Linked DNA regions of Daphnia pulex. The protein of the gene in region 1 purifies or fractionates together with the protein of each later gene. This does not show direct contact. Links are inferred from orthologs where the notes say so. Each region holds a gene or a part of one and is shown in the gene's direction. Other genes may lie near its edges. The genes, in order: neural Wiskott-Aldrich syndrome protein-like and cdc42 homolog.

Region 1 (4,540 bases):
CAATTGATTCAAACATTCTTGACCGGCTTTTGCAACCGAATCAGTAACTGCACACCAAAAGAAAATAACCATCAACGTTCACGGCCACGCAGCTTCAAAAGAAAGAAGATTTCTAAAAACGACATTAGTTTGCCTGTTGATGTCAATGTGATACAGCGGAATAGCCAATTGTAACAAGTGCAAACCAATGCGACGAACGAGAGGCAGTTTTTCTTTGAGCCATTATTTAATGACTAGATTTCGAAAATCAGCCGAACATAACTTAATTTGCTTAATAGAGGAATGTTAATATTAATTACACAAATCTATCTAAATCTCTTTATGATTGGCACGTTTTTTTTAAGTCGGACGGTTGTTTTTTTCATCACTAATCACCATTTGATCAAGTCTTGATCAGGCTGTTTGTTATCACTTATGAAAGAATTTATCGGCAGGGGATTTTCGTCAGACATGTGACTCACAAATGTTTTTGCTTTAGGCCCGATACGTTTTCTGGCTGGGGGCGTAGGTAAAGCGGGAACTGCAGAATTGGAAGGCTGTTTAAATACACTACTTGGTGTAGTACTACTTGATGATGCTGCTGTGGTACTCCATTTAAAAATGCTCTGAACATACCAAAGATTTTATCATTTTAACAATAATTTTCCCTTAAAATTTTTCCTTTTAAACTTACCTTTCCACCAAGACTTTCCAGTTTACTCTCTAAAATTTTGACTTGGATTCTCAAATGTTCATAACTAAATAAAAATTAATTTTATGTCAGCACTGTCCATGTATGAATTATTATGAAAAATTTTACCTGGCTTGCCTCAAGGCTATGACCCAATTCTGTGCTTGATTCACACTGAAGCAAGAGAACACATGTCTGTCTTGATCACCAGAGAAAGTAACAACAAAAGCAAATACCCCAGATCCATCTTCATCAAATGCTACGGAGCAATTTTCTAAAACTATCACACCAATAGGCTCCTGCAAATGAAATTTTAACAGCTTAAAAATGAGACCAAAATTCTTATTTTCTGTACTTCAAACCTACATTTCCTTTAATTCCTCCAAAATTGTTCAAACCGAAGTAAAAAAGAAGATTGCCTGTCAATTTAAACCAGAATTCCTTGAAATTTCCTTTCGACTTTCCCGGATGAAGAACTCTGTAATTTATTCTTCCTTCAATCCTATTTCAAAAAGAATTTTTGTATAATAGTCATCGTATTTATTCTAATACACAATCTAATGTCTCACGTCGCAGGTTTGAAGGAGGTGGTTATTAATTCTTTTCCATTCACATGCATTTTGGTTTAAAGAATCACTGAAAAAAATATATATATTCATCAACAAGATAAAAAATAATGATATATGGAGCAAATCGAATGAAGAGATAAAAGCACAAAAAGATGAAGTTCTTAGAAATGAAAGGCGATCAACATTCCGAACATGAAGTAAACAACTGATCCCAACCCGTGATTCTCATAGCGTTTATGAATTTACCGCTAGATGGAATTGTTTCGTCCTGTCTGATGTGGACCAAACCATTGGACCGTATTGGACTATTTCCTCAAGATAAAACTCTCGTATCTTAAAATTGTGAAACACCGTGTGTAGATCTTCATGAGACTGGTAAGGGAGTGACTGCCGTAAGTGTTTATGAAATAAGCGTATAAATAATAATTCAATTGAATGATAATCGTGAAAAATTCGTTCAAACAATAAGAACTACTTATCCTTATTTACAGTTGTGTGACAGTTACAATTTAATATAAATTTGTCGATGTGTTTACTAGTTTTCGATCGAAAGTTTAATTGACACATTTTGAAAAATCTAGAACCAGTAATAACATTGCCATGACTGCTGCCAAGCGTCCCCAACCTGAAAACAAACCATCATCTATTCTTTCACTAGAAGAAAATGATCAATTATTTAAACTCATTGGCTTGCGCTGCAAAGTAAGTCCCCCCAGTACTAGATTCTTCTAAAAGTCAACATTTAATGTTTTGTAATTTTTCTTTTTCAGAGTATGGCGTCAGCTGTGGTTCAGGTCTGTTTTGCTGATCCACCCAATAGATCCACATGGAACAAACGGCATTGTGGTGTAGTCTGCTTCATCAAAGATAATATCAAGAGATCCTATTTCCTTAGAGTATTTTGCCTCGACAGGCAATCTGCCATCTGGGAGCAAGAATTGTACAGTTCTTTTGACTACTGTGCACCAAGACCTTACTTTCACACTTTTGAGGGAGATGTGAGTCCTGACATTCATTTGATCATATTAGTAAATTACAATATCAATTTGGTTAATATTTTTCGAATGCAGGAATGTCGCATCGGGTTTAATTTTGCTAATGAAGGCGAGGCAGAATACTTTCTGATGGCTATCAAAGAATATTTGAGGATGAAATCGGAGAAACGAGGTGTGTACATTTTGATGTTGACAAATAATGGTTGATTAATAGCTCAGTTGTTGTGTTTTAGAACGCCGTCGTTTATCACAGCAGCAAGTGCAGCAACCGCAACCAGGAAAACCCACGCCAGTCGCCACGAACGGATCGGTACCAAAATCTACAGCAGTACGATCAGCGACAATCACAAACAGTATAACCGTGACAAAAAAAGGGAAGAAAGACAAGAACAAGAAAATTACCAAAGCGGATATTGGAGGGCCATCAGATTTCAAACACATCAGTCACGTTGGATGGGACCCCAATCAAGGATTTGCACTTGACAACGTCGATCCAAATCTGTTGAAGTTCTTCGCCAGAGTAAGACGACTATTTCGCTCAGCATTTCTGTGTTTAACTTTTCTATGGTCTTAACTTAACTTCTGTTATGGTTTAACTTTTTTTTCTTTTGTAATGAAAGGCCGGCATATCGGAGAATCACTTGAAAGACAAAGCAACACGTGAATTCATCTACGATTTTATCGACAAACATGGAGGAAAAGAAGCGGCTATTCGTGAGATTTCGAGTTTACAGTCATCCGGCGGCAGTTTGTTTTCAGCACCTCCGGTGCCAGCAAGGAATCCTCCGTCTACACCTCAGACGGCAAGGATCGCTCCTCCGGCACCACCCGTTTCAGCTCCACCGCCGCCACCTTCAAGAGTGATTGCCTCCCCTCCATCTGTTGCTCCTCCAGCACCTCCTCAACGTGCCCCACCACCGAAAATGGCACCAATTAACAACGTTGCACCCCCACCACCTCCTGTCGGTGCACCTCCTCCTCCTCCACCACCTCCACCGCCTCCTTCATTTGGTGGACCTCCTGCTCCTCCTGTTCCTTCATTTGTTGTTTCGTCTCCGTCACTCCCACCCACTCCAGCTCAACCCGATGTCCGTGGCGCCCTGATGGACGCCATCAAAGAGGGACACAAACTCAAATCGGTGCCGAGTGATGCCGATCAATCGATGAAGAGTGGCGCTAAAGTGCCAGCCTTCGATTCACGCAACGATTTGTTGGGTCAAATAAGAGCAGGAAAGGAACTGAAACCCGTGGAGAAAAAGGCTTCTGTTGTTGCCGTCAGCGACGATGTCATGGAAGGTATGGCCGGTGCCTTGGCCAGGGCCTTGGAGGAAAGATGTCGTGTCATCCATTCCGACAGTGATGAAAGCGGCCAGGACCCAGATGAAGATGACGATTGGGACGATTAATAAAATTTTTGTGAAAATCGTTCCCTATATCAAAAGCAGTCCTCGAGTTTGACGTAGTATTATTTTAAAGAGACTTATTAGTCTTTTATCTTTCACTGGAATTTAATTATTTGCAATATTGCTTCTGCCTAAATCTTCCAGTGGTACAAGCTATCCATTTACATGTTTAAGCCGCACAAAGAATCTTTTAAATAACCGCAACCCAACTGTGACAGCCGTTGCACATATTGCTATTTGCAAGTTAGAGTTAAAAAAAAAATAAAAAAATAATTCATTTGGGTAGTTGTGTGTGAATGATGTGCCTACTTATTAGAATGAAATGTGTTTCTGTTTTATCCTTCTTGTTTTTGCTTTGCCTCATCTACCAATATTCTTTCTTGTTCTGAAATGAATTACACTAATGTCCTATTGTCACACATATGAAGTTCACCCAAAATTCTTAATTAAGCAATAAAAAAAAAATTATTGAATTTGAAGTTCATAGAATTTGGCCGTATTTTGGTGTATTTCTAAATAAGCTAGGAAAAATTACATAACATTTCGGATTTCATACAAATGAATGTAACAAAACCCCACCTGCAATGACTAGCGCCAGGGCTGGATAATGGTGTGTCACTGCCACGCCCAATGCTTTGACGTCATCGTGTGTTTGAATCTGTTTTTGCTTTTCCGGTTGATGGTCAACTCTGGGCTGTGCTGTCACATCTTTTGTCTCCGTCTTCAGAAATTCGCCAAGGCTCTTAACGTTTGAACACGTAATGATTCGGTTACTTGTAGGGTCAGGCGCATTCTGTACGTCACAACCTCCTCGGCTCGAACCCAGAGACTTTCCGGTCACGCCACTCTGCGTTGCTCCGCTGAATTTCAGTCCGAAATGTCCCAGCCATTCTTGACTTACAG
Region 2 (3,999 bases), on another chromosome or scaffold:
GAGGATTTCTTTTTGGAACTTTCAACTACTGCCAAATGATCCTTTAGATTGGGAAGATTACTCACAAAGCGGGATGAGACTTCAACGAGCTGTCGCATCAATTTAACATTCAGCATGCAGGGAGGGGTAACAAACCGGACGGTCTTCAAATCCTTCTCCTGAGCTGCTTAAATGATGCTTTTGGATTCGTGAATGTGTGAAGCGACGGAGCATAATACTCGGGCGTATTTGTTAAACGTAGCATAGTTTGGCTCAGCTTCATAGAGTACATGCCACAAATTGACCATCAACTGCATTAGCTCACACATGATCCAGGGAGCAATAACTTGTTGCTGCATAGGAAGTAAATTCCAAATAGGTTTTCTGCTACTGATTTTAGCATTCTGCATCTTGGGTTTGTTAGTGGTTTTGTCGGCGGTATCTTCGTCTTCGGCTTCCATCATTTCGACCTCCTGTTCAAGTTTTGCAATAGCTTCTTCGTCGTCCTTTTCTTTCGACTCTCCCTTCTTCAGCATGTGAGTGTAGAGCGTGTCCCACATTGTCGTCACCACCGACACCATCTGACTAGCTTCATCTGCAACGGTGTCGGTCAGCAAGAGGCTGTCAAGCCACATGATAAGGCCACGATGTTGAATCAAGTCATAGGTAATGATTGAATTCTGAAGTGAAGATTGTACGACTTCAAGTATGAGCCGCTGTAAATCAAACAAAGAAAAATGTCTCGATGAAATCTCAAACTAAAATTCAATTACTAAAAAAATAACCTTATCAGTTTTGTCGGACAATAGATTGGATGGCTGCAAGGAGAGAAGGATTGGAAAGACTCTTCTTCGAGCACACACTAAATAGTCCTGACGACTTTTGATGCCATCTTGAAGAAGGCTGAGTAAAAAACTCCTTTGAAGCGACCTCTGTTCAGGTAGTTCAGTGTTATGAAGCATGACGAAAAATTCTGGAACTTGGGTAACATCCATAGCCGATTTTACCTAGAAACAATGAAAGGAATGGCGTTTAAGTTTTAAACGAGAAGGAAATTGCAATCAATTAACAGGAACATACCAGTAGAAAGTTATTGATTGCACGGTACATTGGGTGAGAAGGATCTTGAACGATGGCTGCAGCTTTGGCAAGAAATAATGCAATGATTGGACAGCTTTGGTGGTTTTAACATTTAACAGAAAATTTTGGTTTCCAGGGCATTGCTCCAGCATTAAGAGTCCACCGTTTGTAAGGATGGAACACGTTCAAAATTTCAATCCCTGTTTGAAAGTCACTTTCGTTAAAATGACGGGAGCAAATATGTGAGGTGCTCGTCAAATTACTACATGGAATTACTTCTTGCCATTTTGATAATGAAGTTTTAGGAATTGCAAACAGGGTAACCTCATTTTCTTTTTGATTTCCTTTGTAATATGTTGATTTACAACCAGGAACAGCACACCTGCCAACCATTTTTACATAAATTATGGTTAGGCTTCTTTCACGTAATACACAAAAATGGCCGCCGAAAGTATTATTTGAAACTCAACGTCTTATCACTAGATGGCTCTTTTTAAAGTTTCCACTTCACAACTTCTGACAGGCTCCGCCCTAAAACCCCCTGAAAATCGGCTTACGTTTACCCTGAAACCGGGATAGGGAAGCCAACACAGCCATGAACTGACCAGGTATCTATAGCTCTGCTTGCGGTTGAAGCGGTGGCGTCCTGAAATATTTTCTGACAAGTGGCAACGTTGCACCAGGGACGTTCACGCCTTGATATTCTCCAAGTGTCACTTCCACAACCGCTTTTTTTTGGATATTAAATATTTTTCAGCAAATTGTGCTGATACTACATTTCAAGATATTGATCGTAAGTGAATAAAGTGATTTGAGGTTCTATTCATTGACCGGTTTAAACCAAAGTCTTACTCCACTTTTATGTGTGTGTTTTCGCCCAGCGTCCTATCTATCAAAATGGCTGTCGAATAGTTTCGTTTCGCCCGCTTATCTCGTTGTGATCTGCTAATTTTGTGTAAGCCATTTCATTAATGTTATCTATTCCCTTTCATTTTAGAGTCTGACAGGAAGGAGCAATGCAGACCATCAAGTGTGTTGTTGTGGGGGATGGTGCAGTGGGTAAAACTTGTCTTCTGATTTCTTACACCACCAACAAGTTCCCGTCAGAATATGTTCCAACAGTAAGCTATCATGTGATACTCTCTCAAGATGTTATTTCTAACAGCTATTTGACATTTTTTAGGTATTTGACAATTATGCTGTCACTGTTATGATTGGAGGTGAACCTTACACTCTTGGGTTGTTTGATACAGCAGGTGTGAATTCCTTTCTACTTCATTTATATATATTTTTTTTCATTGTTACTTAACAATATTTCCTTAATTTTATGACAACAGGTCAAGAAGATTATGACAGATTAAGACCACTTAGTTATCCACAGACTGATGTGTTCTTGGTGTGTTTTTCTGTTGTCTCACCGTCGTCATTTGAAAATGTCAAAGAAAAGGTTAATATTAGTAGCTCAATCATTAAAAAACTGCAAACTAATGCACTCCTGTTTTGTAGTGGGTTCCTGAAATTACACACCACTGTCAGAAGACACCTTTCTTGTTAGTTGGAACGCAGATCGATCTGCGAGACGACGCGGCAACTGTAGAGAAGTTGGCAAAAAATAAGCAAAGAGTGATCACTATCGACCAGGGAGAGAAGCTAGCTCGCGAACTGAAAGCAGTGAAATACGTGGAGTGCTCTGCCCTCACTCAGGTAAGTCGAGCAAATTCTGTTTCTCCATAGTCGCAAATAGGTAACATGGTTGTTGGATTATGTCTCTCGCAGAAAGGGTTGAAGAACGTCTTTGACGAAGCCATTTTGGCAGCACTGGAACCTCCTGAGCCTATCAAAAAGAGGAGGTGTAATATTCTGTGAGCAAGACAAATTGACAGCAAAACAGGCAAAATAAAATTTCCTTTATATAAAATAAGGAGAGCTAAAAAAAAACACTCTTAAATGACACCTTGCTACTAACCAATGGAATTATTCAACGAGAAGATGGAAAAGCAAAATACTGATGATACGTTCTTTTTGCCAGTTCTTGCATTAACCAGTTTCAACGTGTCATTATCGTTTCGATTATTTTGTGTGTGCGTGCGCGTGTTTCGCAGGCCATTTGCCGCGCTCTTCCAATCTTCTTTTCATTCATCCTCTACCTTCTCGATCTAGGAAATAACACATACCTGTTCTGTTGCTCTCCTTCCTTTCTCCTCTCTTTCTTTGTTCATAAAAAAAGAAGTAAGCATAACAAAAGAACTTTGGCCTCATCATTGTAATCCTCATCGCAAAACTTGTCTGTATGGCATAGGAGAGAATATACAATAAAATTTTCTCTTATACCTTGCAGTTATTAATGCTGGTCAGTTCAGAATTGTCGCTACATTGGACGATTGCGTCGTCGCAATGTTATGGCTAATCTGCTACTATTTTTATTAATATAAGTAAAACATTTGATTGAATTTGACTTTTGACGCTTAGGATCGCTGGAACAGATGTGAAAGTAAGATTGCGTATGGCACTTGCGCATATCATACATTGATAAATAGTTTTGCCGGTTGGTTAGCAACTCATTTGCTCATTGACGTCATTTATTTGTGTATCAGCAGTTTTTAATCTACTACAAACGAAAAACGAGTTCAATTTTAAAAGTCCTGGTTGGTATGAACTAATATAGAACTTTATCACATGTTTTTGATAAGCTGTCGTTCAGCGACAGCGAAATGAATTTTTTTTTAACTACTCTCCCCAAAGGTTTTTATTTTTACTGTATATTACAACTTAAGTAAATTTTTTTCAATAACCGGCTGAATTTTTATGCAAATTCTTCTCGGAATTTATAAAGACATCGGAAAATCCGTTGAAAATAATTGTGATTTATATTTATTTAGCAACAATTTTTAGCAACAAAAGATATGATCATCATCAATCAAGGCAAGCATAAAAATTTAG

The links.
Region 2: the proteins of neural Wiskott-Aldrich syndrome protein-like (region 1) and cdc42 homolog purify together in Drosophila melanogaster (affinity purification with western blotting; 3 studies listed by BioGRID). This does not show direct contact. The link is inferred for Daphnia pulex from reciprocal best matches to the Drosophila melanogaster genes WASp and Cdc42.

The regions. Positions count from the first base shown.
Region 1 is NC_060019.1:7,010,937-7,015,476, reverse strand, and holds neural Wiskott-Aldrich syndrome protein-like, read left to right. Parts: upstream 1-1,471; 5' UTR 1,472-1,614; exon of another isoform or gene 1,615-1,631; intron 1,632-1,674; exon of another isoform or gene 1,675-1,820; 5' UTR 1,821-1,839; coding exon 1,840-1,941; intron 1,942-2,009; coding exon 2,010-2,237; intron 2,238-2,309; coding exon 2,310-2,406; intron 2,407-2,467; coding exon 2,468-2,754; intron 2,755-2,854; coding exon 2,855-3,640; 3' UTR 3,641-4,058; downstream 4,059-4,540. Other genes in the region: wiskott-Aldrich syndrome protein-like, read left to right, coding at 1-174; pleckstrin homology domain-containing family J member 1-like, read right to left, coding at 372-605, 674-737, 800-969, 1,037-1,172, 1,240-1,289; uncharacterized protein LOC124190376, read right to left, coding at 4,188-4,540.
Region 2 is NC_060017.1:3,183,600-3,187,598, reverse strand, and holds cdc42 homolog, read left to right. Parts: upstream 1-1,697; 5' UTR 1,698-1,852; intron 1,853-2,056; 5' UTR 2,057-2,075; coding exon 2,076-2,180; intron 2,181-2,242; coding exon 2,243-2,315; intron 2,316-2,396; coding exon 2,397-2,506; intron 2,507-2,565; coding exon 2,566-2,763; intron 2,764-2,835; coding exon 2,836-2,925; 3' UTR 2,926-3,389; downstream 3,390-3,999. Other genes in the region: nucleolar pre-ribosomal-associated protein 1-like, read right to left, coding at 168-695, 765-986, 1,060-1,089. UniProt on the Drosophila melanogaster protein: Regulates mbt kinase activity and is also required to recruit mbt to adherens junctions. Together with mbt and Frl, regulates photoreceptor cell morphogenesis. Together with Frl, has a role in the neuronal development of mushroom bodies.